Diceros bicornis minor: one gene and its partners. The protein of the gene in region 1 interacts with the protein of each later gene in a pairwise test. Links are inferred from orthologs where the notes say so. Each region holds a gene or a part of one and is shown on either strand. Other genes may lie near its edges.

Region 1 (6,986 bases):
AGGAAGTGTGGACTCCCCAACAGTGGCTATTCCTGGGTGGCACTTCTCCACACCACCACAGGGACAAACGAGGTTCTGCAACAAGCCTGCAGGGGTGCTAGCTGGATGGTGGGCGAGTCAGCCAGAAGTTCCTGTTTCCATAATGACAGTATGGCTATCTCCCTGGCAGGCAAACACAGCACACCGCAGTGCCCAGCAGGCCCGGGAAGGCAACAGGGACGGCTGCATTCTGGGACCTGCAGTCTCCAGAGGCCACCGAGGGGCCTGGGACCTGTAGTTGGTTGCAGTGCATGCTAGGACTTGTAGTCTCAATTGTCTATCCCCTTGGACCATGCTTCTACAAGGAATTCCCCCTTCCTCCCGCAGCTGTTCCCAACTAGGAAGTATCTTGGCCACATGTGGGCGTGTGTGAGCACATTCTCCTCTGCCTTTTTTCTCTCGGTTTCAATCTCTCTGCGTGAGGACAGGGGATCTCAGGGATCCCATTAACTCCCTTCTGTCCCTTTCTTCTGACTGGGAGCTTGGGGGTTTTCCCTCGGCAGCCTGGCCCCACATTTCTCGCCCATCACAGTCTCCCACTTCTCTCCCCAGCAGCTCCCATACTCACCTTCCCCGCCTAGTCCACTCAGGTGGCTGCCCGCACTGGAGCCAGAGAGGTTGGGGCGGGCGGGCCGGGGCTGGGGGCGTGGTGTGGTAGGTGCAGGACCCAGAGCTGGGGCAGGACCCTCAGCACAGTCATCACCCCTGTACCCCTGACAGCATCTCCACTCCATGTCTGTCACTGTCTTGTAGGCCACGCGGTAGCGAGGACGGAGGAAGCTGCGGTACCTGGGAGAGGCAGAGGGAGGCCTCTTTACTCCTCCCTGTACGTACTGGCCCCTGTCCTCAGAGATGGGCAGCTGCTGGTGGGCAAAGCCTGTCTCTCAGGCTGAGTCCCCCTTACTGTCCAGCATGTGGCCTTGCTCAGTTGACAGCTGTCAGCTTGTTGGCCAAGGGCCAAATCCCTGTTCTTCCTCCCCTTGTCCTGTGTTGGAACCTTGAACTCCCCTCCTTGAGCATGACCCAGCCCAGAGAAGGCATTTGGGGGCTGGCAGGGTGGCCTAGGTAAAGGTGTGCCCTGAGTATCCCACCAGCCAAACTGTTGCCTCAGCGTGTCCTCAAAATGGCTCTGACTGAAGCCCCTGGTCCTGCCCCCTGCTCCCTGCTTTGTAGGAATTCCCTGAGTTGGCTGGCTGCCTTCTGCCCTAGCCCAACCCCCACCAAATACCCACTCATCCCCCAGCACAGAGGCTCACATGATGGTGCGGGCACACTGGGGCTGGCCCCAGCCACACGGCTGGTAGTCAGGCTTGATGAAGGTCTCCACTCCATCCTCAAGGACACAGCTCACTGTCCGGGTCACCACGTAGGCACACCAGTTCCTGCAGGCACAACCCCACCTGGGCCCAAGGGCCAGAGACACACGCCCCAGAGGAGGGCCCAGGGGCTACCAGAGGAGCTGAGGGACAGTCAAAAGATGAAGGGCCCCCGGGGACCAGTGGGAGCCAGGGCTCTGGCAGTGGCAGCTCCCCCCACGCCTTCCTGTGAGGCAGCAGTCGATAAAGACTTTTCAAGATGGGGAGAGGAGGCGCAGAATGGAAAACCACAACTACAAGAAGTTGATCCTCATGGCTGGGGGGGGTCCTGGGAGCCTCTGAATTCACACATTCATCCACGTCCCTTTCTGTCTCAATCCACACTTTGGTGTGGCCTGTGTGAGCTGGCTAGCTGGGTCCCTCAGGTGATACCCTGGATGCTGGCTTCCACCCACCCCTCAGGGGAGAGGATGGGGCAGGCAGGGATCCAGCTCAGGGTTAAATGGAGAATAAGCCATTGATGAGTCCTGCCACCCTTAGGGCTTGCAGTTCTACACTCTTGGCCCCATTCAAGCGGGCCTCTGATCTGGGTCCAGCTGGTGAGCCGAAAGGAGCAGGGCAAGAGTGGTGTCAGAATCATGGATTACTGGATGGGGCTGAGGAAGCCCTAGAAAGGGATAAAAGGTCTGCCCAAGGATCCCAGGCTGGTACGCAGCTGGCAGCTGGCAGGAAGGCCTGGCCCACGCCTCTCAGGATAGTCTTCCCAGGCACCTAACTGCAGGTCCCACAGGGAGGACATGGGAGCTGATCACCCTGAGGTTAGACAGAGGGACCTATCTATTCAGGGGGCCCTGGAAACGCCCTGCAGGAAGGTGGCCGTGTGAGGAGCCACCTGATGGGTGGGCTTCCTCTCCCCTTCTTCCCTGTATTAGGGGAGACAGCCCTGGAGAGGGTAGCCAAGGCAGGGGCCGGATACCCACCTTCTGACTCACCCTCCCACCCACCTCTGGGACCCAGATTCTTACCTGTGGCGGCTGGCAGGCCGGGGAGCACTCTGGGGCTGGGGTCCTCCAGGGCTGAGGGCCCCGCCGCTCCCCGTGTAGAGGCTGTAACCACGAGGAGGGTAGCTAGCTGCCCCCACGGCTGTGGTCAGCAGGCAGCAGAGGTAGCAGATCCAGAAAGTGCTGGGGGCCATGGTGGGGGCGCTCCGCGGTGGCCCTCAGAGGCACATCCCAGCCTGACCACTGGCGTCTCTGCCTGGTGCGGGGGATGCCGCTGCTCCAAGGGACAGCGCCGGTCGGGTCCTGTCCCCAGCTTCCTGCCGGCAGCCCCCAGCCACACGCCTCCTCCTTGGCCGCCTGGCCTGACCCCTCTCCCCCTCCTCTTTCCTCCTCACACTCCCGTCTGTCCCTCCCTCGGTTCCTTCCGCTCTCCTCTTCTCCACTTCTGAGGGGAGTTTGTTCTCTGTGCCCCCGGCCTCCTGTGCCTGGTCCCTGCCCCTCTCAGATGCTGCTTCCTGGGCCTCCGCCCCTTTGCCCAGCTGGCCCTCCTCTGTTCTCCCTATCTGTTTTCCCCAATGATCAGATCCTGGGGGTGACAGGGCTTTGCCCCTGTGGCTGTTGAGAGGCACAAGAGTGGCTGTGGGGCGGGCCCTGGCCTCTCGCCTCCCTCTCTTGCTCACTCCTCTCCCTTCCCCCCTGTCTGGCTGGCGGTCCAGCCTCCCCCTTCCTCCCCCCATCTCTCCAACCATCGTGCGCCACATCTGCTTCTTGTTAACTCCGGGAAAGAGAGAAAAAAAAAGGAAAAACAGAGAAATGTGGAGTTGCCGCCGGGCTTGGGGCCAGCCTCTCAGACGGGCCACATGGAGTGGAGCCGGGGCCAGCACTGGGGGAAAGGCCCAGGGCTGGTCACTTAGACAGGGAACAGGAGCTGGAGCCACAGCTCTCCTGGGGCTACGGCAGGCCTCCCCTGGGAGAGAAGACCTGAGAGAGGAGCCTAGAGGGGAGAGGAGGGGAGGACTATAAAAGGGAGAAGGAGCTTGTAGGCTCAGCGGGACATCACTCACCATCTAGTCCAGCCACCTCCTTTTATAGATGTGAAAATTGAGGCCCAGAGTGGGAAAGTAACTTGTCCAAAGTAACACAGCAAGTCAAGAACAGGGCTGAGATTAGAATCTAAATACCTAGATCAATGACTTGGCAGAAAGAAGAAGAGGAGAGAGGGCTACTGGGCCAGGGAGGAGAAGGAAAAGGACTCCACTGAGGCAGGCAGGAAATTCAGAGAAGCCAGAAGAGGAAGAAAGGAATCTGGAAATGGGAGAGCAGTTTTCTGTCAAGCATGGAGATGACATGGGCAAGAAGAGAGTCTCTTAAAAGGCCAAATAAATATGGGTCCCAGGCTTGCCTTGGTGTAGGTCAAGCCATCAGTGGGGGAGGGGAGGGAGGAAGGTAAACTGGGCCCCATCTATACAGGGCCAAAGGAAGTCACTCCCTAGCCTGCAGGCAAGTCTGATAGCCTCCGTAGCAGGCAAGGAACTCAGTCACATTCAGCCATCGGCCTGACTGGAGATGTCTGAATCCGTCAGCTGGGCCCCCTTCATCACCTGGCCCTCAGCACTGTCTTCTGGACTAGGTCTCCCTGTGTGTGGGGACACTCGGGAGAGCGAAGCGGAAGTACTAGACAGAAAGGAGGCGAAAGGGGCAGGCCCGGTGGCTTAGCGGTTAAGTGCGCGCGCTCCGCTACTGGCAGCCCGGGTTCGGATCTGGGCACACACAGATGCACCGCTTCTCCAGCCATGCTGAGGCCGCGTCCCACAAATAGCAACTAGAAAGATGTGCAACTATGACATACAACTATCTACTGGGGCTTTGGGGAAGAAAAAAAGGCGGAGGACTGGCAATAGATGTTAGCTCAGAGCCGGTCTTCCTCAGCAAAAGGAGGAGGATTAGCACGGATCAGCTCAAGGCTGATCTCCCTCACGAAAAAAAAAAAAAAGAAAGGACGCGAGACTGCTGCGTGCAGGGCACTGTGCAGGCGCCCAGGTAGCAAAGCATATATAAGACTTAGTGAGGAGCAGCTGGGGCTGCTGGGGATGGGATACAAGTTCCGAGACAGAGTGCCAAGAGGGACAGACAAATGGATGCGGCATGTTCTGGGTAAGAGGAGGGGAGAGACAGCTGGCTGCTGAGGGGAGTCAGAGAAGAGCTGCTGGAAGAGAGAGAATCTGAACAGTGTTGGGGGGAAAAGAGTGAAGAACAGAGACAAGGGGCAGGGAGAGATTTCAGGTTGGGGAAGGTGGCCTGCCTCAGTTTCCTCATCTGTGACATGGGAATAATAATAGTACCCTCCTTCCTAGGTTAGTGGGGATTAAGTTAATACATGTAAAGCATTTAAAATAGTGCCTGGCACATGGTAAACACTCAATAAATGTTAGCTCTTATTTGCATCAGGAAGAAGAAGGACAGAAAGTCAGAGAAGTCAATTGTGGAAAAATTAAGGAGTCTCAGATAACTGGTTAAGAGCTTCGATTACGAGTGTTTGGGTAGGGGGTCAATCACATGCAGAAAGAAGACATTGTCAGCAACAGCAATGGGCAGGGGGTCAGGGCACAATGGAGCTGGTTCCAGCTCCTCCTCTCAGTAGTGTTATCACTCTGAGCAAATCCCATGACTCCACTGGGAGTCTGTTGTCTGCCTGGTGTCTAAGGTCCCTTCCAAATTCTACATTGCAAAGTGATGCAGACTTGGAAGAGAAGGCTGTGACTGCTTGGTGATTTCCTGAGTAGAGGGAGCAGATGAAGGGAGACACCAGAGAAGATTCCAGGGTTTGAGCCAGGAAGGATAAGTCAAGAAGAGGAGCAGGTTTGGAGGAAAGAACGATGACCTTAGTTTGGACATACTGAGTTTAAGATGACAGTAACACATCTCAATGGAAATAAATGTCCAAGAGATGGTAGGAATGTGGATCTTGATTCTGGGAACCATTTGCAGGACAGTAATTGGAAGCTGAGAATGGACGCGACCAAATCTTCAATGTGACTCCTCTGAGGTCCTATGGCCCAGAATGTGATCCTGATGGTGGGGAGAAACGTTGGTGAAAAGACAGGATGCTGGAACCAACAGAAATGGAAATTTGTGGCTGCCCCTTAAAGGTGTGGGGATCAGCACACAGGGAGACTTGAAGGATATGGTCCTAGGAGATCCTAATTTCAAAGGAGCTGTCAGTAGAAGGTTGCAGCGTTGTCCCTGGTCTCCACATCAGTTCTAGGCTCTGGCCCTGGCAGGAAGCCACTTCCTCTCCAGGTTGCCCTGGCTGCTGCTGTGGGTTTTCTTTCTCTGCTCTTTCCCCTCTTCTTTCCCTTTAGGGGGCCTCCGGCAACCTGAAAAGTCATCCCAGCCATTTTGTTACTGCCTAGTTGTTACCCATTCCTTCGCCTGCCCTCTTAGGTTTAAAAATCTGTTGTATTTTAAGTGTGTCAAGTCAAAAATGTTGGCTTTGAAATACAATTGGAGTAGGCTGCATTTCATTTAGTCCTGTAATTAGGAGCCAAGACCTAGAGGCTGACATGAATATTTGTGAGATTTCAAATGAGATCTGGGTTCACTGGGGAAGCCTGAGGTGCTGGGCAAGCAGGCTGCAATGGAGACTAGGCTTAGAGAGAATGCAGTGGTGGTATTGGCAGGTAGCCACAAATTTCCAAAGCAATTGGCAAGAGAATTCCTGAGACCCAAAAAGGCTAAGTCCCTGGAGCACTAGTACAAGATCTATTTTATAGCCTCTCCAAAACAGGGGATTTCCAAGGGTCTAGTGCCAGTGGGAAATCTTGGCTGTACTAGGCAACTAACTCATTCACTCAACCATCACCGACTGAGCAATGAGCTCAGGTGCCCGGGGGCACCAGCAGTAAGGCACATTTTATGTCTAACGCCCTCTGTCAGAGGATGGAATATTGGTAGGAAGAAAAGGGAAATTATATGAATTGGGCCTTCAGTCATGCAAACCCAGATGGTAATTCAAGCTTGCAGCGACTCTTGAGCAAAAGTCCACTCCTGCTCAAATGCACACATTTTCCTTTTCCTTCCAACCCCTCCCACAGGGACAGTACTTTAGGAACCAACCTCCTTGGACTCAGGGCCCAGTCCCCTTTTCCCAGGTCAGGTTGCTTTTTCACTCCTGAACCTAATCCTGACCTCATGTCTTCTCCTTGACAATGTCACACTAATCACAGAGATTAGGCTCCACACGTGTCACGTGTCCCTGTCCCCCCCTCATCCTCTCTCTCCCCCAATTCCCCCCAGGATGAGGCTTGCCTGTCTCACTTCCCACATACTTCTCCACCCAAGCTTTGTTCAAGCTTTGTTAATTCTTAACTGAGTCTAGTTTAGTCCTGGAGACCATTTTTAATCTCAGTTCCTCCAGGCACTAGGCCAAATGACCCATTCAAGGCTGATAAAGACTCGCTGACCTAGGCACAGGAAGTTCTGGGACCTAGGCACAGGAAGTTCTGGGAGGTGAAGGACGTTTCAGGATGGTTCCAAAACAAACCCTGTTCCTCTTGTCCCTGACCTTAGGACAACCTGTTGAGTCCACAGTCTGTTGGGGAGTACGGAACAGAGGAAAGAGGACAAAGTG
Region 2 (7,698 bases), on another chromosome or scaffold:
TGTCAGAAAGCAAGAAAGTGCTCAAAGAATGATGAGAACATGTCAAAAAGACAGAAAATCCAGCTTGAGGAAGTTCTCACTGGACAAATCTGAGAATAAATTAATCATAAAAATAAATAATGACAGTAATAATTAAATCCACTGAGTAAAATAGAAAACTATGAGTCCATACTGACATACATACAGACATATATAAATTGAAATTTTGGTGGGGAAAGGACCATTTAGTTAGTCTCAGAATCCTTCCTCACAAAATATTTATTAATTTCAAAGGGGAAATGTGTAACTTCACAGTGAAGAAGCCAGGCAGATGCCACCAGAATAAAATAATCAAAGTAAATAATGAGATAAATCATCTGCCATCTGATAGGCTGCACTGAGAACAAAGCATGACTTCTATGATATTCCTGCCAAAGATACATAATCTAAATCTAAGCATGAGGAAACGTTAGACAAACTGGCTTGTTCTCTTCAAAAGTGTCAAGTTCAAAAAAGCCAAGGAAAGACTGAGAAACTGTTCTAGGCAGAAGGAGATGAAAGAGACATCACAACTAAATGCAATGCATGATTCTGAACTGTGTCCTTTTGTTACACAAGATATTATTGGGACAACTGGCAAAATTTGAATTGGATCCAAGGATTAGATGGCAGCAATGTGTCAATATTAATTTCCTGATTTTGATCACTGTATTGTGGTTATACAAAGAATACCTTTTTTGTAGGAAACGTATACTCAAGAATTTGGAAACTTACAGGAAAAAGAAAGGTTGTTTGTATCGTACTTGCAACTTTTCTGTAAGTTTGAGATGGTTTCAAAACATATATATTAGTAGCTCCCTATTACATCAACAACTGCAGAATCCTTATGACGGCCTCCAACATTCATCCAAGGTCTTACACAATCTAACTCCAATTTATTTTCTAGTCTTTCTTAGACAACTCCTAGACTAAGTCTCCTAACCACACTGAACACTCGAAGGGTCCCTCTTCTCCCTTTTGTCCCTCAATATGTCTCATCCTTCCACCCCTCCCAACCTTAATTTCCACCTAATGAAATCCTACTGTTCTTCAAGGTCCATCCCAAATTTCTGCCAAGTTCTTGAAGCCTTTTCTGATTCCCCCAAGGGACATTAGTTCTCCCTCTTTTACCTCTTTTGGGGAGCTTTACTTATTTGTGTACCTGTGTCATTTTCCATGATTAGACGGTCACGACCTTGAGGCCAGGGACCACGTCTACTCCTCCTTGCATCCATTTAGAGCACAATACGAGCTTACACATTGAAAATACTCAATATTTAGAGAATCGTGCAGTATCTTGACTCAGGTAGTTGTTCTGCTCAGGACATCCACGCATATGAAGTTCTCTTATCACATTTCCAGAAAGCAAAAACTGCAACATTATTTAATTGCTTTTTTTAAAGTCAATATTCTTAAGAGCTTGTAATAAAGGCTCTCAATATATTTAACTCTTATAAATGGTCTACTACATGACACCCCCAGAACTTTTTGCAACATATTTAGTATCTCAATACTGTCCTCTCTTTGCATCAGCGGGATGTACAGTAATAGGCTTCCTTTTATGCAATCAGATCGTAGGCAGAATAACAACCCTCCCAAAGATGCCCACATCCTAATCCCCAGAATCTGTGAGTATGTTAGGTTACACTGCAAAAGAGAATTAACGTTGCTAATCAGCTGACTTCAAAATATGGAGATCATCCTGAATTTTCCATGGGCCCAATGTAATCACCAGGGTCCTTAAAAGTGAACGAGGAAGGCAGAAGAGCAGAGTCAGAGTGAGATGTGACAACATAATAATCGTCAGATGGCACGCTGCTGGCTTTGAAGATTGAAAAAGGGTACCACTGAGCCAAGGAAGGTGGGCATCCTGTAGAAGTTGGAAATGGCAGGAAAACAGATTTACTCCAGTAGCCACCAGAAAGGAAGGCAGCCCTGCAGACACCTTATTTTAGCCCAGTGAGACCCAGGTCAGATTTCTAACCTGCAGATTTTTAAGATAATAACTTTGTGGTTTTTAAGCCACTAAATCCGTGATAATTTGTTATGGTAGTGAATGAAAAAACCAATACAAATCACCACCATCTATCCACCACCTGTTTTCCTACTATACTCATATCACTGCGGTGGCAGGCCTGATAGAATCCAATCTTCCCATATCTGGCAGCAAAAAGAAAGGAAACGAGGGGAAGGAAGGCAGGAGGTGGTAATTAATAAAATAGTGATAAACATATATAGTTTTAAAAAAACTTATGCATGTTATACAGACAGGGAAACATGGTGTTCTCCTTTGGATGTCTCTTTCAAGAAAAACCCTGAATATTCTGAAACGTGAGGAAAGACTGCCAAACCCTGCGCCTGCCAAGGAGAGTAAATCTCAAGGCATCAGTTTTCCTAAGAACTATCTCGGGAGACACTAGAAGAACGTTGAGGAAACACAGTGGTTTTAAGTTTCAGTTTCCAGAATGAAGCAAAGCACACCAAGGAGACGGGGTCAGAGGCCTGGCCGGCACCCAGAAGGCACCGTGGGCGCAGGGGCAGGCGCGCCCTCTCGGCAGCTTGTCGCCACAGCGACCCAGGCTGCGGGGGGTGGGGCGCGGGGGCGCGGGGGGCGCAGAGCCGCCTTCTGCGCGCGGTCCCTGGCGCCGCGGAATGCGCCTCGCTCCCGACCCAGGGCCTCGGTAGCCCGGGGCTACCAGGAGCAGGGACGGCAGCCGGGGAACCGGGAGCCCCACTCACCTGCCTCGGCCCGTCGAGCGCCGCAACGCGGGGCCCAGCGCGCCCGCCTTTCCGGGAAACCTCGGGGGTCGGCGCCGGATGTCCCAGGTCCCCGAGGCTGGTGCTGCCTTATCCAGAAGCGCCTCGGGAGATCCGAGGTGCCGTTGCAAGTGGGTGTCACTCGGATTAACAGCTTGTTCCTTAAAAAAAAAAAAAGAAGAAGAAGAAAAGGAAAAGAAAACTGTGCTCAAGTAGTGGTTAGTGAAAAAACTAACCACCGCTCGGAATAGCAAACCTGGTGTCTCCAGTAACTGGTTAAACACTAACAAGTTATAACCATTTTCACTTTCGATTTCTAAAAATTGCTTGTTTTGTTTTTGTTTTGGGGGAATCTATCCCAAAAGTTTTCCTGAAGTGTCCATAAACACTAATTTCAGGACATGTCTTAAAAAACACTCTTGTGTGTGTGTGTATATTACTGGACATACGGTTGGAAAAGTGGACTGAAACAAAATAACGTCAAAGCAGGCGTCTCTCCCCAGATTGTAACTCTCATTGTAATTTATTGTCTTTATAACCTTAATCTACAAATTTTTACAACCAGCACAAGATCAGCTCGTCTGTGTGTCTTTTGCAGCGTCCTCTGGGCCATGAGGTTGGGAAAGCTGTGGTGTTCAGTTGGTTTCTATGACCCACGTCCCTTGAAAATTGTCTTACAATCTTTTGTTTTGTTGTGAAGCTTGTAAATAAATGCTTCACTAGGTGTGATCTTTTCCTTTGAAAATAAAAACGTCTGGCTTATTTCAAGAACTGCAGTGTCTCTTAATTCTACACCAAGAACCACCCCACAGCTGTACTTGCTGGTAAATAGAGGTCAGGAAGGAGATGCATCAAAATGATTTCTAGTGTATAATGCTATATACTCATATGTAATAACCGATATAGCAGTCTAAAATGACAGATTAACAAAAGCCAAATTCCTTTAGATCAAGAATAGTGATAGGAATCAGTTAAAAGTGAATTAAGTGAAAAAAATCAAGTGGTGCGTGATAAGGGCTTTTGTGCTCATCAGCTCAGTTTGAAAGTACAAAAACTTCATCTGTCACAAGTTGAGAATTAATGTCGTTCTACCTTAGAAATTTAGAGAGCATGAAATTGAGAGGTTATTTAGTTCAACCTCATTTCTTCTTTGATCTTGTTTTTGTTTTTTATAAGAAGATACTAAGGAGCAGGACCATGGCCAGAACAGAGCTGATCTGATATTGACTCAGATCCTGTGAAAGGGCAAAGGATACAGGTAGTAGCGAAGCCTTTTTGGCTACCAACATGCTAAAGCCAAGCCATGTGTAACAATACGAATTCAACTCAGCTTCAAATCTAGTATTCTGCAAAGTGCTGGAGTTCTAAAGATGAATAGTCAGTTCCTGGACATATTAGTAACAATTTTAATTGCTAACATCTACTGAGAACTCCTGGGCATTTAATATCCTTTTTATTTTGCCAACAACAGTATGAGGTATAGGTATTCTTCCCATTTTGCAGATGAGGAAACTAAGCATTAAAGAGGTGACCCCAAATCAAGCAATTAATATGTAATGACTTTGATGTCATACTCTACTCTCAACCATAAAATCAGTGTCTCCACACTGTGTTTTATGGTGTTTAAAGATGAAGGAATTCTACGGCCAACTATGATTAGGTTATGCTGCATACTTAATTCACTTTTGGAGAGTCACAATGCACAATAGCACATTAAGAATTTTGAGAAGCAGGGCCGGCCCGTGGCTTAGTGGTTAAGTGCGCGAGCTCCGCTACTGGCGGCCTGGGTTTGGATCCTAGCGTGCTTGTCCAGACGTGCTGAGGCCTCGTCCCCACATACAGCAACTAGAAGGATGTGCAACTATGACATACAACTATCTACCGGGGCTTTGGGGAGAAAAAGGGAAGGAAAAAAAGGAGGAGAGTTGGCAATAGATGTTAGCTCAGAGCTGGTCTTCCTCAGCAAAAAGAGAAGGATTGGCATGGATGTTAGCTCAGGGCTGATCTTCCTCACAAAAAAAAAAGAAAAAAAAAAGAATTTTGAGAAGTATTGCAGGAAAAATTAAAGCACACATGAAAAAGTTTAACTTTATTCAACCTTGAATTTATTGAACTAATTTGACCACTAAATCCTTTTGTTCAAGGAGCAGCTATTAAAATCTTGAAGAGTTTCTAATGGGGTAATTTTACTAATGATGGGGTCCAGGACATGCTACCCTCAAATGTGGCACCTTGGCATATTGAATAGTTTAAGCTGAAGAAGTTTGAGAAAACAGAAGCAAGAAGGTCACTCTGACCTTTCCCTCCCTCCCACCATCCTTCTCTGAAACAGGTCATAAAACCCTCGTGTGAGAGGTGCCCTCTCTATACCTGGAGGAAAGGAGCATCCTTATTTCTGAAGACAAAGGGATGCCGAGACGAATCCTAACAAACAGGCCTTGCTGAGTCTCCCCCAGTTTACTGCACTTACCTCATGCTCCTTGACGCATCATATTCCTCCATGACTGCCCACTCTTCATCAAACCCAGCATAAAAATAGTCAGATTTAACTGTTTCTTCTGGTCTTTGTTTCCTTATGAAGACTCTCGTGTCATATAAAACTTATATTAATCTGTATGCTTTTCTTCTGTAAATCTATCTTTGTCGGTTTAATTTTCAGACCCAGCCAGGAACCCTAAGAGGGTAGAGGAAAACTTTTTCTTTCCGCACACTAAATTATACCATGTCTTAATATTAAAGTTATTATTTATTGAGTGTCTATAATGCACTCAATAAATATTATGTCACATATGAGATGCCTTGGACAGCTCATGTAAATCTATACCGCAATGATATGAGATGTATGTTATGTTACACATTTATCTCTCCACCAAATGGTAATGAACTCCTCCCAGATTCCCTATAAATTCACACACACAGACCAGTGTTACATACAGTGCAGTGTGTGCTATGAAGAGGTAGGATACCAGGCATAGCAAAACACAAAGAAGGGGCCAGCCCCGTGATATAGTGGTTAAGTTCGTGCACTCTGCTTGGGTGGCCCGGGATTTGCAGGTTCAGATCCTGGGCATGGACTTGCATGCTGTTCATCAAGCCATGCTGTAGCAATGTCCCATATACAAAACAGAGGAAGATTGCCACAGATGTTAGCTCAGGGACAATCTTCCTCACCAGAAAAAAAAACAAAAAAAATCATAAAGGAGAAAGTAGTCCCCTCAATCTCAGGAGATCAAGAGACGTTTCTTCCACAGAAGAGGTGAAAATTAAGTGGATTCTTCAAATTAGATGAGGTGGGCTGAGACAAAATTTCAAGTGAAAAATCCCAGAGGCATGAAACAGCTTCGGAGCCACCACAAGTTTGGTGGGTATGCAAACCAGGAGAAAACCATCTGATATCCTTTATATTGTGCTCTTGTTTTTAGAAAAGGTCTTATACACCAAGCTTTTGCTACTGTTGCCAAGATTTTGGTGATCCAGTTTGCATTTCATTCTTGGGGAAGCTGAAACACTTAGAACGTGCCCAGCATTGTGCAAGACCCTGGGGGACACCAGGAAATTATGTAACATCATCTAGTTTTCCAGAGGTTTGCAACTGGAAAATGTAAAAGTAAAGGAATGTTGCTAAGAGAGTAAATCTTAATGTTCTCATAGCAAAAAAGGAAATGGTAATTATGTGACGTGATGGGGGTATTAGCTAATGTTGTGGTGGTAATTATTTTTGCAATATATAAGTGTATCAAACCAACACTATTTTACAATATGTAAATATATTAAATCAACACTATTTTGCAATATATGTGTATTAAATCAACACCATTTTGCAATATATAAATGTATCAAATCAATATGTTGTATACTTTAAACTCACACAACGTTATATGTCAATTATATCTCAACCTCAATTATATCTCAACAAAGCTGGAAAAAAATAAATAAAATAGTAGACAACTGATTAAAAAAAAAAGGAAAGTAAAATAAGTACCCCATCCCTTACTCTGTCAGGCATGCAGTGCTATACAGTTAAGAGCATGGTTTTGATCTCAGATGTGGGTTTCAATACTAATTTCAAGTTACTGAAGTTTCCCTGCCTCAGTTTTCTCATCTGTGAAATGAGGCTGTTGTGAGTGAGATACTACTACATGTCAACTGCTAAGTGCAGTGCCTTAGCCATTGGTAAGTCTCAATAAATGGAAGCTGTTACCCATTGGTGAGAATTTTTTTTTCCTGCACATTTCTTCTGCTTTATCTTCCTACCTGGAGAAGTACTTTTAAGGCAAAGATCATTTTTTATTTCTTTCCTGTCATCTACAGTTACTAGTACAGTGACTATATCTAGTACTTGCTATATACTCATTTCTAAGTAGTGGTTAGATACAAGAGTAAGAGTCAAATACTCTGGGCCCAATGTTATAACCCCTTTGTATAAGCTTTCATATTAGTGAGTATGAATAAGTTTGTATAAGTGAATAAAATATTGTGATAGATCAAATATTTTGAAATATGGGCCGGCCCTGTGGCTTAGCGGTTAAGTGCGCGTGCTCCGCTACTGGCTGCCCAGGGTTCAGATCTGGGGTGCACACCAACGCACCTCTTCTCAAGCCATGCCGAGGCCTCGTCCCCACATACAGCAACTAGAAGGATGTGCAACTATGACATACAACTATCTACTGGGGCTTTGGGGAAAAAAAGGGAGGAGGATTGGCAATAGATGTTAGCTCAGAGCCAGTTTTCCTCAGCAAAAAGAGGAGGATTAGCATGGATGTTAGCTCAGGGCTGATCTTCCTCACAAAAAAAAAAAAAAATTGAAATAGAAGTTAATCCAAGTAAAATAATGATAATAAAATGAAAGAATAAGGAATGTTATCTTTTGGAATCATGCCTGAGCCACTGACTGATCATATAAGTATAATTGATCAGTCAGAA
Region 3 (6,706 bases), on another chromosome or scaffold:
GCATGGCCAGAGAAGCGGTGGGTCGGTACGCGCCGGGAATCCGAACCCTGGGCCGCCAGTAGTGGAGTGCGCACACTTAACTGCTAAGCTACAGGGCCGGCCCCTATCTTCATTTTTTAAGATGAATCGGCTGACTTTAAAGAAATGTATCTGTAATAATTACCAGGTTTGTGCTTCTAAATAAGAGATCCAGAGGTAATATAATTTATATGTCTTTAAATTGTGTCTCAAGTATAAATTGTGTCTCAAGTATTTATTAATTTTCTCCATTCCCTTTATAAACCGACTGGCAAGTTGTTTGCTTCTTACTTTTCTTTTGACACATATAATATGTGTGTACTCATTTTGGAAAAATGAGAAAAAACAGATAATCAAGAAAAAATAAAGAAAACAAAAAAACACATTCTGATGTATATATATAATATGCACACTACATTCAGATATATATAATATGCACACTTTTAAATGAGATAGTATATCTATAGACTAATTTTTAAACTGCTTTATTAACTTTACAATATATAATAAACATCTTTCCATGCAAGTTCATGAAACTCCCCTGCTGACAGAAAAACCTACAGACTAAGTCAAAATGAAATCTCCAATCAGAAAAGTGACACAACACCAAAGGTTCACGATAAAGAGTACACCAAGAAAATGCAAGTTTGGGAAGCAGAGGGTTTATAACTATTAACCTCAGCATTCAAGGCATAAGGCAAAACTCATCATGATGGTCATGGTGAGGGGGATCTCCTATAAGAATGCGCAGACTGTACCTCAGTTGAAGCTCCGTAATTTTCCTCCTTAGCTCTCTCATCTCCTCCATGAACCTTTCCATATCATCTGCATCTCCATCTATCATGTCAATGTTATTGACAAGCCTGTTGGGAATATCCTCTCTAAAATCCTGGGCAGGTGGAGCCCAACTCCCTCTAATATTTCCTCCAGGCTCCTGGCCTTGACCACCTCCCAAAGGGCGGGCTTCTTCTTCATTCTGCACTGGGGCCTGCCCCCCTCCTTTGCTTTCCTGGGGGACATTTTCCATGTTGAGATTTTTTCCTGCTTCTTCTTCCTAGAGATAAAAAGCAAGAAGAGGGATTGAATGTTCTGTAACAACAGGATTCAGAGTTCTGTTGGCAAAGGTTTTCCCATCTGAGAGACTTCGTGCGCCCTCCAGGGGGCGCCCCAGACCCAGCCCTGCCCCAAAGCCCACCATTTTCCCTGAAAGTACTTTCCCTAGGCCACTCCTCTCATCAAAACATAGGATGGGTAGTGGGCGGGCGGTGGTTGAGAGACCCAGGCCTCAGCTTCCAGGGATCCTGATAAGCCCTCCAGGGGCGCCCCAGAGCTTGCCCCTCTACTCCCTTCTTCCTCCACCAGCCATAGGCGCACAGTTTCTAAGGACTTCGCCAGCTTTGTGCTGTACTTAACTCAGGCAGGGAAGGCTGTGACTCCCCCAGATTCTGTCCTGATCCCTGATGTCCCTACACCAGAGAGCCCCCGGTAGCCCCCTACCTGCAGGGATCAGAAGCAATCTTCCTCTCTTAGCCTTGAAATCTGCTGCACCAACGGACCTAAAGACCTGCAGACAGAAATGCGACAATACCCAAGACTGATCACTCGATTAAAGGACCAGTACCCAGGGCACCAACTCCGTTGCTGATTTAGGATTCTGCTAGTCAAATGTTGCCACCTTCTCTTTCTCCTCTAGCCTGTCTCAGGGCTTCTTTTCCAGCCCTGTGATGCGCTACCCCGCCTTCCAGAAAGAGGCATTGTAATCAAAGACGATTTTTTCCAAATCAGTTTCACCTCTTCTTTAGGCCCCTTATCCTCACTGACCCGTCCCTTCTGTTGCCTAATTACCATTTCTTGAACGCAAATGGACAGTTTGCGGGGCGGGGAAGTCAGAAGAGCTTGCTGGGTGGCGATGTGGTTTATTTATGAAGAATTTCAATCTGGGTTTCCACCAGGACCTTTTGGGACCCAGTGGCCTTTCTCGAGCCCACCCTCCTTCCGTTGCCCACCATTTTATGCATCAAGATGGACGAAGGGCGAAGAGGTAGTGTGGGCATTGCAAACTTGGTCCTGCTGCGGTCTCAGCGCTTTGTCATGCTTACCCCAGGGTCTGCAAGCAGCACCCACCCTTATACCGGCCTGCAGGGACCAGAAACAGTTTCTCCCTGCCCACCTATATCCCTCATCCCTCAGTCAGAAGTCCGCCCGGTCGACTGCCCCCTCCGCAGAAGGGACCTGCTTCCCAGACCTAATCCCTGCCCCATCCTCTGCAGCAACCGCCCCTCACCCGGGTTCCCACAGCCCACCATTTCCGGCTCCAAAATGCACGAGGGTGGAGAAAAGATACCGGGAATGGAGGCGTGCGGTGTCCATTATCTCCAACCCAGGGTTACCGGTTTCGCCCCCCTCCTGCCGCCCTGCAGGAATCAGGCTGTTTCCTCGGCGTCCTCTTCTCTGGTCCTTCCCTTCCAGATGTCGCCTGATCGTCCACCTCCTAGGGGATCCCAACTGGTACTCATTCTCAACCCTTGGCCCCTCTCGGTCTCCTCCCATCAAGCCCTTCATTTCTTGCACCAAACGGGTGGGCATCGGGGAAGTGCTAGAGAGAATCCAATCCTGAACCCACTCTGGTCTTTGCCCTCTGCCACCCGCACCCCAGTCAGAGCCCGCTAACCTGCCATGGATCTGGGTCATCTTCTACGACTTCTTCCTTCCCTGGGCTACAGGCTCGCCCGCCTTCAAGGCAATAGCGAGCCGGCGCACAGCCACAAACAACCACTGGATCACAACTAGAAGGAGAGACTAATCCATAGGTTGGCTCTAGATCTCGTAAGGGCCATGTCACTGCGAGCTCAGATCCCCAATTCCGGTTCATACCTGCAGTGCGGCAGAAGAGTGGGAGGTGGGAGCGTGGGCGGGACCACCTTTCTCCTCATTCCCGCCCTCGCCCCACCACTACAACAGGCTACTGTCCACATCCCTTTTTTTTTTTTTGCTATTTAGCAATCTTCGAGACCAAACGGGTCATAATATTTTGTAGGTTGTATATGCCTTTTCCCTGATTTCTGCTGGAGCTTTTAAAGACTTGCTTCTTCCTGTTTTATATCATTAAATGCCCACTTCTCCCCACTCCACTCCCCAGCAAGTAAAGCCCAGAATTTCCCATAACAGTCTTGTAGGTCTTGTCCCAGAGTGCAACCGGGGCGGGAGAAGGGGGCGAGGTTAAGAAATCTGGAAAATAAGTAGGAAGTGACCTTTTTTTTCCTAACTTTCACCTTAATTATTTCCCTTTATGTTTAAGAGGGTGTATGTAATTGTTTTTTTGTTTCCCATCAGCATGCATTCATTTTTTTGCTTGCTATGACTAAATAATACAATTATTTCCAGTTGAAAAACAGGATTCGAGCTGTAAAAACTTGGCAACCTGTTTCTGCTGCTGAATCATCCTACAAATATAGACCCTCCAGATAACACCTCCTCTCCCTTTTAAGGACTTTGAAATATAAACCTAAGCTGGTGGTTCCCCTTGTGAAAGGGTCTCTTTGTGGTTTTTCCATGAGGTGAGATAGTGAGTCTAACAGAGTTTTGCTGGTGGAGTTTTAAATCTTGAGAGCTTGTAACAAACTTATGGTCTCCTCTAAATTATGTTAGTGCAACTTCACTTTACAATAAGACTCCAGCATGGCCTCTAAAATAGAGCAACACTGAGGTCTTCCAACAATTCAGAACAATAATTTTGGAAAGTTATGCTTACAGATAAAAAGTATTGTGAAGCTACAATATTAAAACAACATTATACCAGAATAAATATAGAATAAATGAAACAGAAGAGAAAGTCAATTGTCAAACACAAATATGGGGAAATATTAGTAATCTAATTGAAATATTTTGAATCAGTGGAGAGAGTTTAGACTATTGAAGAAATGATTATTGAAGAAATGGTGCTGAGGTAATTGATTAGCTATTTGGAAAAAAATGAAGTGCCTTATTCCGGTTTTAAACTTACTAACTCAATATTTAGATAAAAAGACATAAAACCATTGAAAATAGTATATAACGAATGTTATTTTGTATACAATCTTAGGATGAAAAAGTTTGTTCGTTAAACATGTAGCACCAGAGTGGCCGGCCCGGTGGCATAGTGGTTAAGTTGGCGCCCTCTGCTTCCATGGCCCGGGGTTCGCAGGTTCAGATCCTGGGCGGGGACTGATGCACTGCTTGTCAAGCCATGCTGTGGCAGGTGTCCCAAATAAAATAGAGGAAGATGGGCACAGATGTTAGCTCAGGGCTAATCTTCCTCAGCAAAAAAAGGAGGATTAGCAACAGATGTTAGCTCAAAGCCAGTCTTCCTCACACACACACACACAAAAGTAGCACCAGTGATAGACATGGCCAAAAGACAACTGGCCCAATCCTGTTGGGGACCCTCTAAGTCTAAGGAGCCATGTAGAATGCTCCTCAGAATTATCCCAATTCAACGACAGGAAATTGGAGTATTTATCCACAGACATGGGTTCTTTATTGGTGGATGTTACCCTGGGAATGTTAAAATCTCTGACGCTTCCAGGTTGTCTTAAGCCTGGACTGGACTGAGCAAGCTCACAAGGTGCCATAAACGGCCCTCAGTAAAATTAGAAAATACAGATAAGGTAGAAGGACAATATCAGCATTATCTCTGCCTCAATAAATATACTATTCACATTTTATTCTAAATCAGTCCAAATATTTCCCTTCAAAATAAAGAATGCACACACATCCATTCCGGTATTTATGAGCATTTGGGGTGTTTGTAGTTTTCACTATGAGGGACCATGTTGATTGAACTTCTTTGTACATAGATTTTTTTTATACTAACAGGAGGGTATTAAATTCCTAGAAATGTCCTAGCTGTATATGACTATGGATGCTTTTAATTGCCATAGAAATTGGCCTTGAAAAATGTTGTCCCAATTCGGCATCTATAATGTATGAGCATTCCTGTTTTCTCATGTGTCCACCAACACTGAGTATTACCTGGTTTATTGTATTTTTTTAAATTTTGTTTTATTTTATTTTTTGTTTCATTTTGTCCTTTTTAATTTATTTTTAAAAATTTGTTGTCAAGATCATCAAGTAATGTTTTCTAGACCTGCCACATTATAAAAGACACCTGAGATTAAGATTCCCAGACTCTTCTCTGAGGATTCTAGTTCAGTAGATTGGAGCAAGTTATGGGAACTTGCATTTAAGTTCCTTACACAATACTTAATATCAGGTAGGGTTGGCAATCTGTGTCATAGGCAAAAAAACCAAAATGAAACAAAAAAAGACCCCCACTGTTATTTAAGTGGTCTTTTAAAAAAACATTACTATGAAATAATTTCAAAGTTATAAAATGATTTTGAAGATACTACAAAGAGCCCCCACATGCCCTTCACTATATTCCCCAGTTAATATTTTGCTACATTTGCTTTATCATTCTCTCTTTATGTTGAAGGGCACATTATTATTTCCTGAACCATTGAGTCAATTGAAGACTAAATGGTCATTTAAAAATATTTATTTCAGAGTGACATCAGCATCATGGTGGACTGAGCTTTCTTGTAAACTCTTCCCCCAATAAGATACAACATAAGGGACATTCATAGACCAACAAGGGACACTCACACAGCACAAAGGGACATCAGAAAGACCCACACTGTCACACATCTGAGAGCGGATGTGCTGGGGCCCCTGGAGGAAGTGGGGAGAGGTAGGGAGAAATCCTCTCCCTCCCCATCAGATCAGTGATTCGGGCCTGCATGGCTCCCAGAGAGCAGGGAGAGGAGGCCCTCTGCGGGGAAACCATAGCTCTTTGGCCTCTCTCAACCATTGGGAAACTCACATACAGAGGGTTCAGATGCTGCAGGGGTGCCATCAACATTTGAGAACCCCAAGAGAGCAGATAACAAAGGGCGAGCAAGAAGCCCCCTCCCAGGGACCTGGCAGGCAAAAGAGAGAGCCACTCCCCCCTGCATGCCCAACAGTGCAGCTCAGCCGACCAGTCAGAGCAGCCACAGCAGAGTGCAGGCAGCCCCGGTGGAGCAGCTATGGCGGAGCAGCCTTGGTGGAGCACAGGAGGCTCAGATTACACAGCCCTTGAGCCCCACATAGTGGCAGCAGGTGGAAACTGTAACCAGATATTTCCAGGATGAGGAAAAACAAAACGAATACAGCAAGCACGATGTAAAAGTACATGAAATCACCAGACCAGAAGGAAAATGGCAAGGAACCAGAAATCAACACTGAAGGCACAGAAATCCATAACCTAAATGACAGAGAATTCAAAATAGCTATCATAAAAAAGCTCAGTGAAATACAAGAAAACACAGGTAAATAATTCAATGAGATAAGGAGTTTCTTCACAAAAGAGATTGAAATCATAAAGAAAAACCAATCAGTATTGATGGAAATGAAGAAAACAATGGAAGAGATAAAGGAGAACATGGAATCTTTAGAGAACAGAGCTGACAATATGGAGGAAAGAATTAGCATTATAGAGGATAGGAAATACAGATATACTCCAGATGGAGGAGGAGAGAGAACTGAGACTAAAAAGAAATGAAGAAAGTCTCCAAAAATATCCGACTCAATTAGGAAATGTAACATAAGAATTATAGGTATTCCTGAGGGAGAAGAGAGGGAAAGAGGAACAGAGAGCCTATTCAAGAAA
Region 4 (7,591 bases), on another chromosome or scaffold:
CTCCCCCTAACCACATAAGGACTTGCCCCTCTGAGCCCCCAAATACCCCATTTGCCCTCTTCTCACCTTCACCTCCCTCCAGATTCCCTTGCTATCTAGTTACACACCTGGGGCCAGAGAGTCAAGAAGTCTGATAATACAAGAGCATGGATTTCAGAAGCAGATCTGTCTGGCTTCCAACCTGAGATCTGCCAGCCTCTGACCTTGATCAAATATATCTTATTTGAAAAATGAGATAAGGATACATACCAGATAGGTTTGTTGGTACAAGGGTTAAATGAATAACACATATATAGCCTTAGCACAATACCAGTTTCAAAGAAGTTTAGCAAATAACAGTAATAATACATACCCAGCCGGCTGCCAAGGCTTTGCCTTGCTTTGAGGCCCGGCATATGGTTGGCATATTTCCTAGTTCCTGGCACTGACGCCAGTTTCTCCTATTTTTAATTTCATTGGTCATTTCTAGAGAATGTTGGAAGGAGGACATTAGCTAACCGGGTTCTTATTAACATCTGGCCCAGTTTTCCTTTACCTGTTTGGGCCGGCTTCTGTTAGTGTGAGGAAATAAATTGATTTCAAAACACTTCTCTTAAATCCAGCCAATGTATGGAGTAATTCAAGCAGTTCTTCTAGTTCTACTGGATTTTCTAAGAAAGCAATTGAATCTTCTACTAATAGCCATATTTTGTCTCCTTCACAATACGTCTTCTCCTCATTTGCGCTTTATTGCATCCATCAGACCATGGATAATTAACGGTTGTGATGATGTCATCTTTACCCCATTCCTGGCTTAATAAAGAATGCCTCTCTCTTTTCTCCCCTATGTACGTGTGAGCTATTGAAGATAAAAGTGATGATATTGTTAAGGCAATATCCTTTATTTCCTTTACTTCTACCTCTTGGAGTTTGTCGTTTTTAAGTCAGTGATGGCTGCTGAATTTCATCAAATAATAGTCTCAGTATTTATTGAAATAAGGCTATTTTATTTTTGTTTCTTTGACCTTATAACAGAAATGACGGCTAGAGATTTTTCTGGAACCCCACTTGGGAATGAATAGCTAACCAATAATTTATTTTATGTTCAAATTAGTGGATAAAGAATGGACTATGCAATCGGGAGCATTTGGATATTTAGATGTCCACTGGGGAAAAAATTTTGTTTTTAATTTTTCCTCTCCATCCCCCCCAAAAAATCTAGATGGATTAGAGACTACACCCTTAAAAAAACTGAAAACTATTTGAAGAAAATGTTGGAAAATATTTTTATAGCCTTGATGTGAGGAATCATAAGCAAGTTATAAAATCTAGAAGCCATAAAAGAAAATATTGAGAGATTTGGCTACCTAAACATCTAAAACTTCTGTATGATGAAAGACACCACAAAGAAAGTTAAAGACAATGGAAGAATGGAAGGAAACCTTGCCAACATATATGACAGGCATTGGATTTATAATCAGAATATGTAAAGAAAAGAGGAAAAATAGGAAAAAGTATTTGAATAGCCAAATAAAGCTCAACTTCACTCATAATAAATAACGTGTAAATAAAAACAACAAGGTAACATTTTTTCCTCATCAAATTGTCAAAGTTTTAAAAGATAAATATCCAGTGTCAGAGAATGTACATGGCTGCTAGATCTACAACTTCAGGTCTCTCAGCTCCAGAAGCGTTTTATGTAAATAGCGCCCCCTGCGGGACAGCATAGGCTACAATGTGATGGGTGTGTCTTGGAACATTGCGCTGAGGGCCAGGCCCCTGCTAGGTGCTTAGTGAGGGTTTTTGTCTCACTCAGCAAAATGTAAAATGCCCTCTGACTCAATGATTCCTCTTCTAGGAATCCAGCCTTTCAGAAATACATGAGTATGTAATATGTACATAAACATATTTGCAAAAGCATGTTCATTGAAGCATGCTTTATATTGGACAAGAAGGGAAACAAACTACGTGTCCATCAATAGGGGATTGTCTGGACAAATAATGGTGCATCCATTCATGAGATATTTTGCAACCGTTAAAAGGAACCAGGTGGATTTAGGTCTACTAACATAGAATGATCTTCAAGATTTGATGTTATGACTGAGATGAACATTAATGTGAAAACAAATCCCCAAAATATCTATTATTCAATCCCAGGTATATACATTTGTGTCTGAATACATATTAGATAGATAGGGCATGCATAGACAAGGAGCTGGAAGAGTCCACCAAGCTGAGGGGACTAGACTAGAATCGCTGGGCAGGGGGAGTTAGTGATAGGGAGGAGTTTCATGTTTTACTATATGCTTTATCATTTTATGACTTTACCACAACAAGACAGTATTGTATATGTGTTGTTTTTATTGTAAATTCAAAATATTAGGTAGCCCACTCATTCTGAGCTGCAAGAATCTCTATGGGTTTGGCTATCCTTTGACAACTTCCCACCTGAGTAAACTACCAAGGAATGTCCTACTACCAAGTGTGAGAAATTTTTTTTTCCTATTATTATTATTTTGTAGAGGTCATATTGGCTTATAACATTGTGTAAATTTCAGGAGTACATTATTATATTTCAGTTTCTGTATAGACTGCATCATGCTCACCACCAATAGTCTCGTTTTTATCCATCACCATACATATGCCCCCTTATCCCCTTCTCCCTCCCTCCCACCTCCTTCCCCTTTGGTAACCACAAATCTGTTCTCATACTCTATGTATTTGTTTATCTTCCACATGCGAATGAAATCATACAGTATTTGTCTTTCTCTGTCTGACTTATATTGCTTAGCATAATACCCTCAAGGTCCACCCATGTTGTTGCAAATGACATGATTGTCTTTTTTATGGCTGAGTACTATTTCATTGTGTGTGTGTGTGTGTGTGTGTGTGTGTGTGTGTGTACCACATCTTCTTTATCCATTCATCCATTGATGGGCACTTGGGTTGCTTCCACATCTTGGCTATTGTGAATAATGCTGTGATGAACATAGGGATGCTTGGCATTCCTGAAATAAATTGTTTTTCTGAGCTAGCTCATCTGGGCATCCTAATCCCCATGAGTACTTGTTAAAAATTTAGATGCAAGTTTCTATCCAAGATCTGCTGACTCAGAACCAGAATTCCGTGCCTGAGGCAGTTATCTGGAGGACGAAGTGAGAACCGAGGATTAGGATTACGGGTTGGTGTGGTAACTGTATTGGACAATTGCACAGTCGGGAACAGAGAAGGCAGAGAGGCAGCCTTGATCTGCAAGGGCTCCAGTTAGCCTAAGGGGGACCCTTGGTGGATAGAGACGTTCTCCTGGTCTTGGTGGTGAAGACGCTCCACTTACAGCCAGGTGAAACAATCAGGTTCTGCAGCTCTTGCTTTTTGTTTTCACTGAAACTTAACTATTTTTGCACTTGTTGGGTGGGGTGTCCCGTGGGTGAGGATTCCACTATTGTGTTCTAAACTGGAAGGAGGTGGGGATGATTTGAAGTTCACTGAAAAACCCACCCAGGTCTTATTGTGAGCTTGCTTAGAATGGAAAATACAACCCGGTTCTCAGGGACTCAGTATATATTATTATCTAAGGGCTAGTCTACAGAAGCAGCAAAACTGGATTCAAATCCTGACTCCACATTATACCAGCTGTGTGACTGTGGGCAAGGTTCTTAACATCTCTGAGCCTCAATTCATCTGCACAATGGATGTAATGACGTGCCCCTCATGCAGTTGCACTGAAAATCAGACAAGTGGTGTGTGTAGAAGTAAATCTATCAAAGCTTAGCTGCTATTTATTAATATTATGGTGGTTAATAGACTGTGAACTCCTCGAGGGCAGATACATGCGAATAGGAGAATTATTTTCTTTCCTCCCTCCTCCAGAGTTTACCTAACACTATCTAGTACAGAGCTTAAGTATTTGCTGAACACTGATTCTGATCCCGATTCCATTAGGGCTCTGGGCCTTTCATTGCCTTTGAGGCATTTTACAAGTGTGTAAATTGTAGATAGCAATGCAACATAATTCTCGTCTATAGAGATGCAAATTATTCCTGTTATAGGTTCAATTAACTCTCCTCCCTCCCTTTGTGGAAGAAGTCAGTTTTACCTCCTTTTGCACATTAATGTCAATATTCCAGATCTGTGTCTGTTCTTTGGACTGACTGTCACCTCTCACTGATTCCCTCAATAATTGTGAGTTAAAATCTTCAGCACATGCTCATTTTATATATGTATGAAAGTCATGATTTTACCTTTTTTTTTTTTTAAAGTATCTTTTAACATTACTATTACTCCTTTAGCAAAATAGCAAGTTTCTGTAGAAGGCAGACACCACTTCTGAGTCTCCCTCTCAGGGCCAGACGCTGTCATAGGTGGACAGAGAAAAGCTTCCAGGCTGCGAGCAGTCAAGGGTTCAGATCCTGTGCCTTAGTTGTGGGTGACACCGAGGGAGGCAATGCTCCCTAAGCTTCAGTCCGCCGACGTGTGAAATGGGCTCATAACCAATACCTGGGCCCCGGGGGCGGTCGCGTAGAACCCACTCCCCCACCCTTCTCTCTCCCCTTCTGCGCCCCGGCCCCCGGGAGGCGCGGGGGACTCAGAGGGCGGCCCCTTCCAGGCTGGCACGCTGGCCCCTCCGCCTGCGGGGTCTCTGGGCTCCACGCTGCCCACGGGATGCGGAGGGGGCCTCTGGAGGGGGCGGGTTCGCTGCAGCCAGAACGCCGGGAGCCGCCCAGGAATTTTGGCTAGGACTGAGAGCATTTCCTCCCGGGCGGGCCCGGCGCGATCCCGGGGAGGGCGGCTGCGGGCAGACGCTGCGCTGCGTTCGGCCCGGCCGGCACCATGCGGTCCCTGCTCTGCGCGCTGGCCGGGCTCGCCCTGTTCCGCGCCGCGGGAGTCTTCGCCGGTGAGTGGGGCCCGGGCGCGGGGCGAGGGCGGGAGAGCCGCGCAGGGCGAGGTAGGATGAGCAAGAGAGATGGAGGGAGGGAGGAGGAGAAGGAAAAAAAATGGAAACGGAGCTAGATGGGGGCGGGGGGGAGAGAGAGAGAGATGGAGAAAGAGAGAGAGAGAGAGAGAGATGGAGAAAGAGAGGTGCAGAGAGGGAGGGAAAGAGAGAAAGAAAGATGGTGAGAGAAAGCAAAGAGAAAGACAGAGACAGAAAAAGGCAGAGAAATAAAGGCAGAGGGACAGAGAGAATTAGAGAGAAAGAAGAGAGGGACGAATAAAGAGAGAAGGGTAGAGGCCGAGAGAAAGAGACTTTGGAGCTGAACAGATGGTTATGAACTATGAAGGAGGAAAGACAGAAAAAGGAGTTTGAGAGGTACAAACGGAATGAAATAGATGAGCTAACCTGGCAAGAGAAAGAAGGGAAAGGGGAGAGAGAGAGAGAGAGAGGATACTGAGGAAAAGAGAAAGACGAGAGAGAGACTAAAAGAAAGAGAGAGTGGAGAAACTCAATGCCCAAGGAGAGAGAGGAGGAAACAAGGATCCCAGAGTGGGAGGTCAAGTCTGCAGGGTGGGGCAGCCCCCCAGGCCAGCTCCATCCAGAGGCCCTGCAGAGGCGCCCAGGCCTGGTTTTACTGGGTGTTGCCCAGGAAGCTAAACTTCCACAGTCCGATGACCCAGGCCTGGCCCAGCACAGCCAGCCAGTCGGGGTCAGGCAGGCGGGCCCCAGAAGAAAAGCCATCACTTCACCTGCCAGGTGGCCTGAGGGAGTTCTGCTGTCTGGGTGAGGAGGCCAGTCTCCAGGCTTCCAGAGAGCTCTCTGAGGGCCTGGGTTGCTTTGGGTGGGTAGGTGGGAGGAGGGTACAGGAGGAAGAGGTCCTCTGGGTGCTCCCCTTGCTGGGGTCCTTGCCTTGCACTCCCCTCCCTCCCCTCCGCTGACAGCAGTCTTAGTGCTGCCCCTTCACAAGTGAGGCACAGATAGGGTGGCAGCAAATGTACTTACTTACACACAGATGCTCATTCCACACCCCCAAGACTCTGCACCGCACTTGACAGTTTACAAGCCATGTTCCCGTTTACGCAGCATCTCACGCAGGCCTCAGCCAGAGGCAGCTGGCGCTCATCCTGGTTGTGCAGGTGAGAGGAAGGCTCAGGTCTCCCGGTGGTGCCAAGGCAGAGCTCTCACCAAGCATCCAGGCCTCCTGCCCTCTCCTCAGGCCCTTGCCCCCAACCAGGCTGCTCCCCCATCAACCTGGAGTCACCCAGGCCAAGTGCCCTATATTAAGACGGAACCCCCCTCACCCCTGCCCAGTCCCTTTCAGGGCACAGTGAACTGTGGGAGTGAGCTCTCAGGGAAAGGATTGAGGCCAGTGCTGGTCCTAGGCAGCTCCTGGCTGAGTGACCTTGGATGTCACTTCTCATCTCTGAGGCTGTTTCGTCCTCTGTAAGTTGGGGAGAATGATACTCACCCCGCAGAGCTTGCTGGGAGGATTGGATGAGAGGGAAAGTGCCCAGCATGGAACACGTTTCAACACACACAAGCTCCTTCTCTCGTCCCCGCAGACAGCTCCACTGATCTCACTGAGCCTCAGTTTCTCCACCTGTTAGGGAGGACCAACAACCGCTTCCTCACAGGCTGTGAGGAGTAGCTGGGATGATGCCCAGCATAGAGCCCGGCCCACAGGGCATGTCCTTCCCTTTCTCTCCCTCCCCCTTACCCTCCTCCTGGAGTCCCCACATCCAGGAGCTGAGGGGACAAAGCCTCGTCTGTGCTCCCCCAGAGGGAGGAGCTGGCTGCCACCCACAAGTGGCTGACCTTTTGTGGCCCCTTGGCCACAGCTGGTGTATATGCTTTAATTTAAAACTGTTTTTAAACATTTTCTTTCTGATTATGCATGCTCATTGCTACAGATTAAGAAAGAAAAGAGGCAAGTATAAACGTATTAATGTAATTTCGCATTGAGTTCACACATTGTTGTGTATAACCTTTCAGACTTCAGATAATATACCGTTGTTTTTGTTAACTTTTGATTATGAAATCTTTTGGGTGGAAAGCAGAGTAGTATAATGAAGCCCCATGTCCCTATCACCCTGTTTCAACAAGGGTCGATTCCTCCACAGTCCCCACCCTCTCGCCCCTCCCTCAGATTGTTTTAAAGGAGATTACAGGCATATAGATGAAAGATTTATATTTTCATCTATAAATATTTCCTAATGTATCTCTAAAAGATAATCTTTTAATAAACATAACTGTCATACCGTTATCACACCCTAAAAATGAACAATAATTCCTTAGTATCATCAACTATCCAATCAGTGTTCAAGTATCCATTGTGTCATACGTTTTTACATTTGATTTGTTTGATCCAAATAAGGTGCATGCATTGCTTTTGTTTGATATGTCTGTTAAAGTTTCTTTTAATATGTAAGTTTTCTTTTCCCCTTTCTTTCTTAATATTTATTTGTTGAAGAAACGGGGTCATTTGTCCTGTAAAGTTTTCCACATTTAGGTTTTAGCTGATTGTCATTTAAATGTTCCTCTCTACCTTGTATTGCCTATAAACTGGTGGGTAGATCTAGCAGCTTGATCTAATTCCAGTTAGATTTTTTTTTTCCCTGAGAATGGTCTTTATTGCTTTAATTGGCATTTCTCTGATTATTTCTGAAGTTGAACTTTTCC

What was found.
Region 2: the proteins of EMILIN1 (region 1) and NMI interact in binary tests that used the Homo sapiens proteins (3 or more experiments, as listed by UniProt). The two-hybrid records come from large-scale screens. The link is inferred for Diceros bicornis minor from reciprocal best matches to the Homo sapiens genes EMILIN1 and NMI.
Region 3: the proteins of EMILIN1 (region 1) and BEX5 interact in binary tests that used the Homo sapiens proteins (3 or more experiments, as listed by UniProt). The two-hybrid records come from large-scale screens. The link is inferred for Diceros bicornis minor from reciprocal best matches to the Homo sapiens genes EMILIN1 and BEX5.
Region 4: the proteins of EMILIN1 (region 1) and PLAC9 interact in binary tests that used the Homo sapiens proteins (3 or more experiments, as listed by UniProt). The two-hybrid records come from large-scale screens. The link is inferred for Diceros bicornis minor from reciprocal best matches to the Homo sapiens genes EMILIN1 and PLAC9.

Annotation. Positions count from the first base shown.
Region 1 is NC_080751.1:55,738,311-55,745,296, forward strand, and holds the start of EMILIN1 (EMILIN-1), read right to left. Parts: upstream 3,016-6,986; 5' UTR 2,551-3,015; coding exon 2,381-2,550; intron 1,422-2,380; coding exon 1,296-1,421; intron 829-1,295; coding exon 608-828; intron 1-607. UniProt on the Homo sapiens protein: Involved in elastic and collagen fibers formation. It is required for EFEMP2 deposition into the extracellular matrix, and collagen network assembly and cross-linking via protein-lysine 6-oxidase/LOX activity.
Region 2 is NC_080749.1:35,229,356-35,237,053, forward strand, and holds the start of NMI (N-myc-interactor), read right to left. Parts: upstream 3,025-7,698; 5' UTR 2,758-3,024; intron 1-2,757. UniProt on the Homo sapiens protein: Acts as a signaling pathway regulator involved in innate immune system response.
Region 3 is NC_080781.1:94,976,818-94,983,523, reverse strand, and holds BEX5 (protein BEX5), read right to left. Parts: upstream 2,492-6,706; 5' UTR 2,363-2,491; intron 1,583-2,362; 5' UTR 1,516-1,582; intron 1,073-1,515; 5' UTR 1,046-1,072; coding exon 704-1,045; 3' UTR 505-703; downstream 1-504.
Region 4 is NC_080745.1:27,688,155-27,695,745, forward strand, and holds the start of PLAC9 (placenta-specific protein 9), read left to right. Parts: upstream 1-4,584; 5' UTR 4,585-4,809; coding exon 4,810-4,873; intron 4,874-7,591.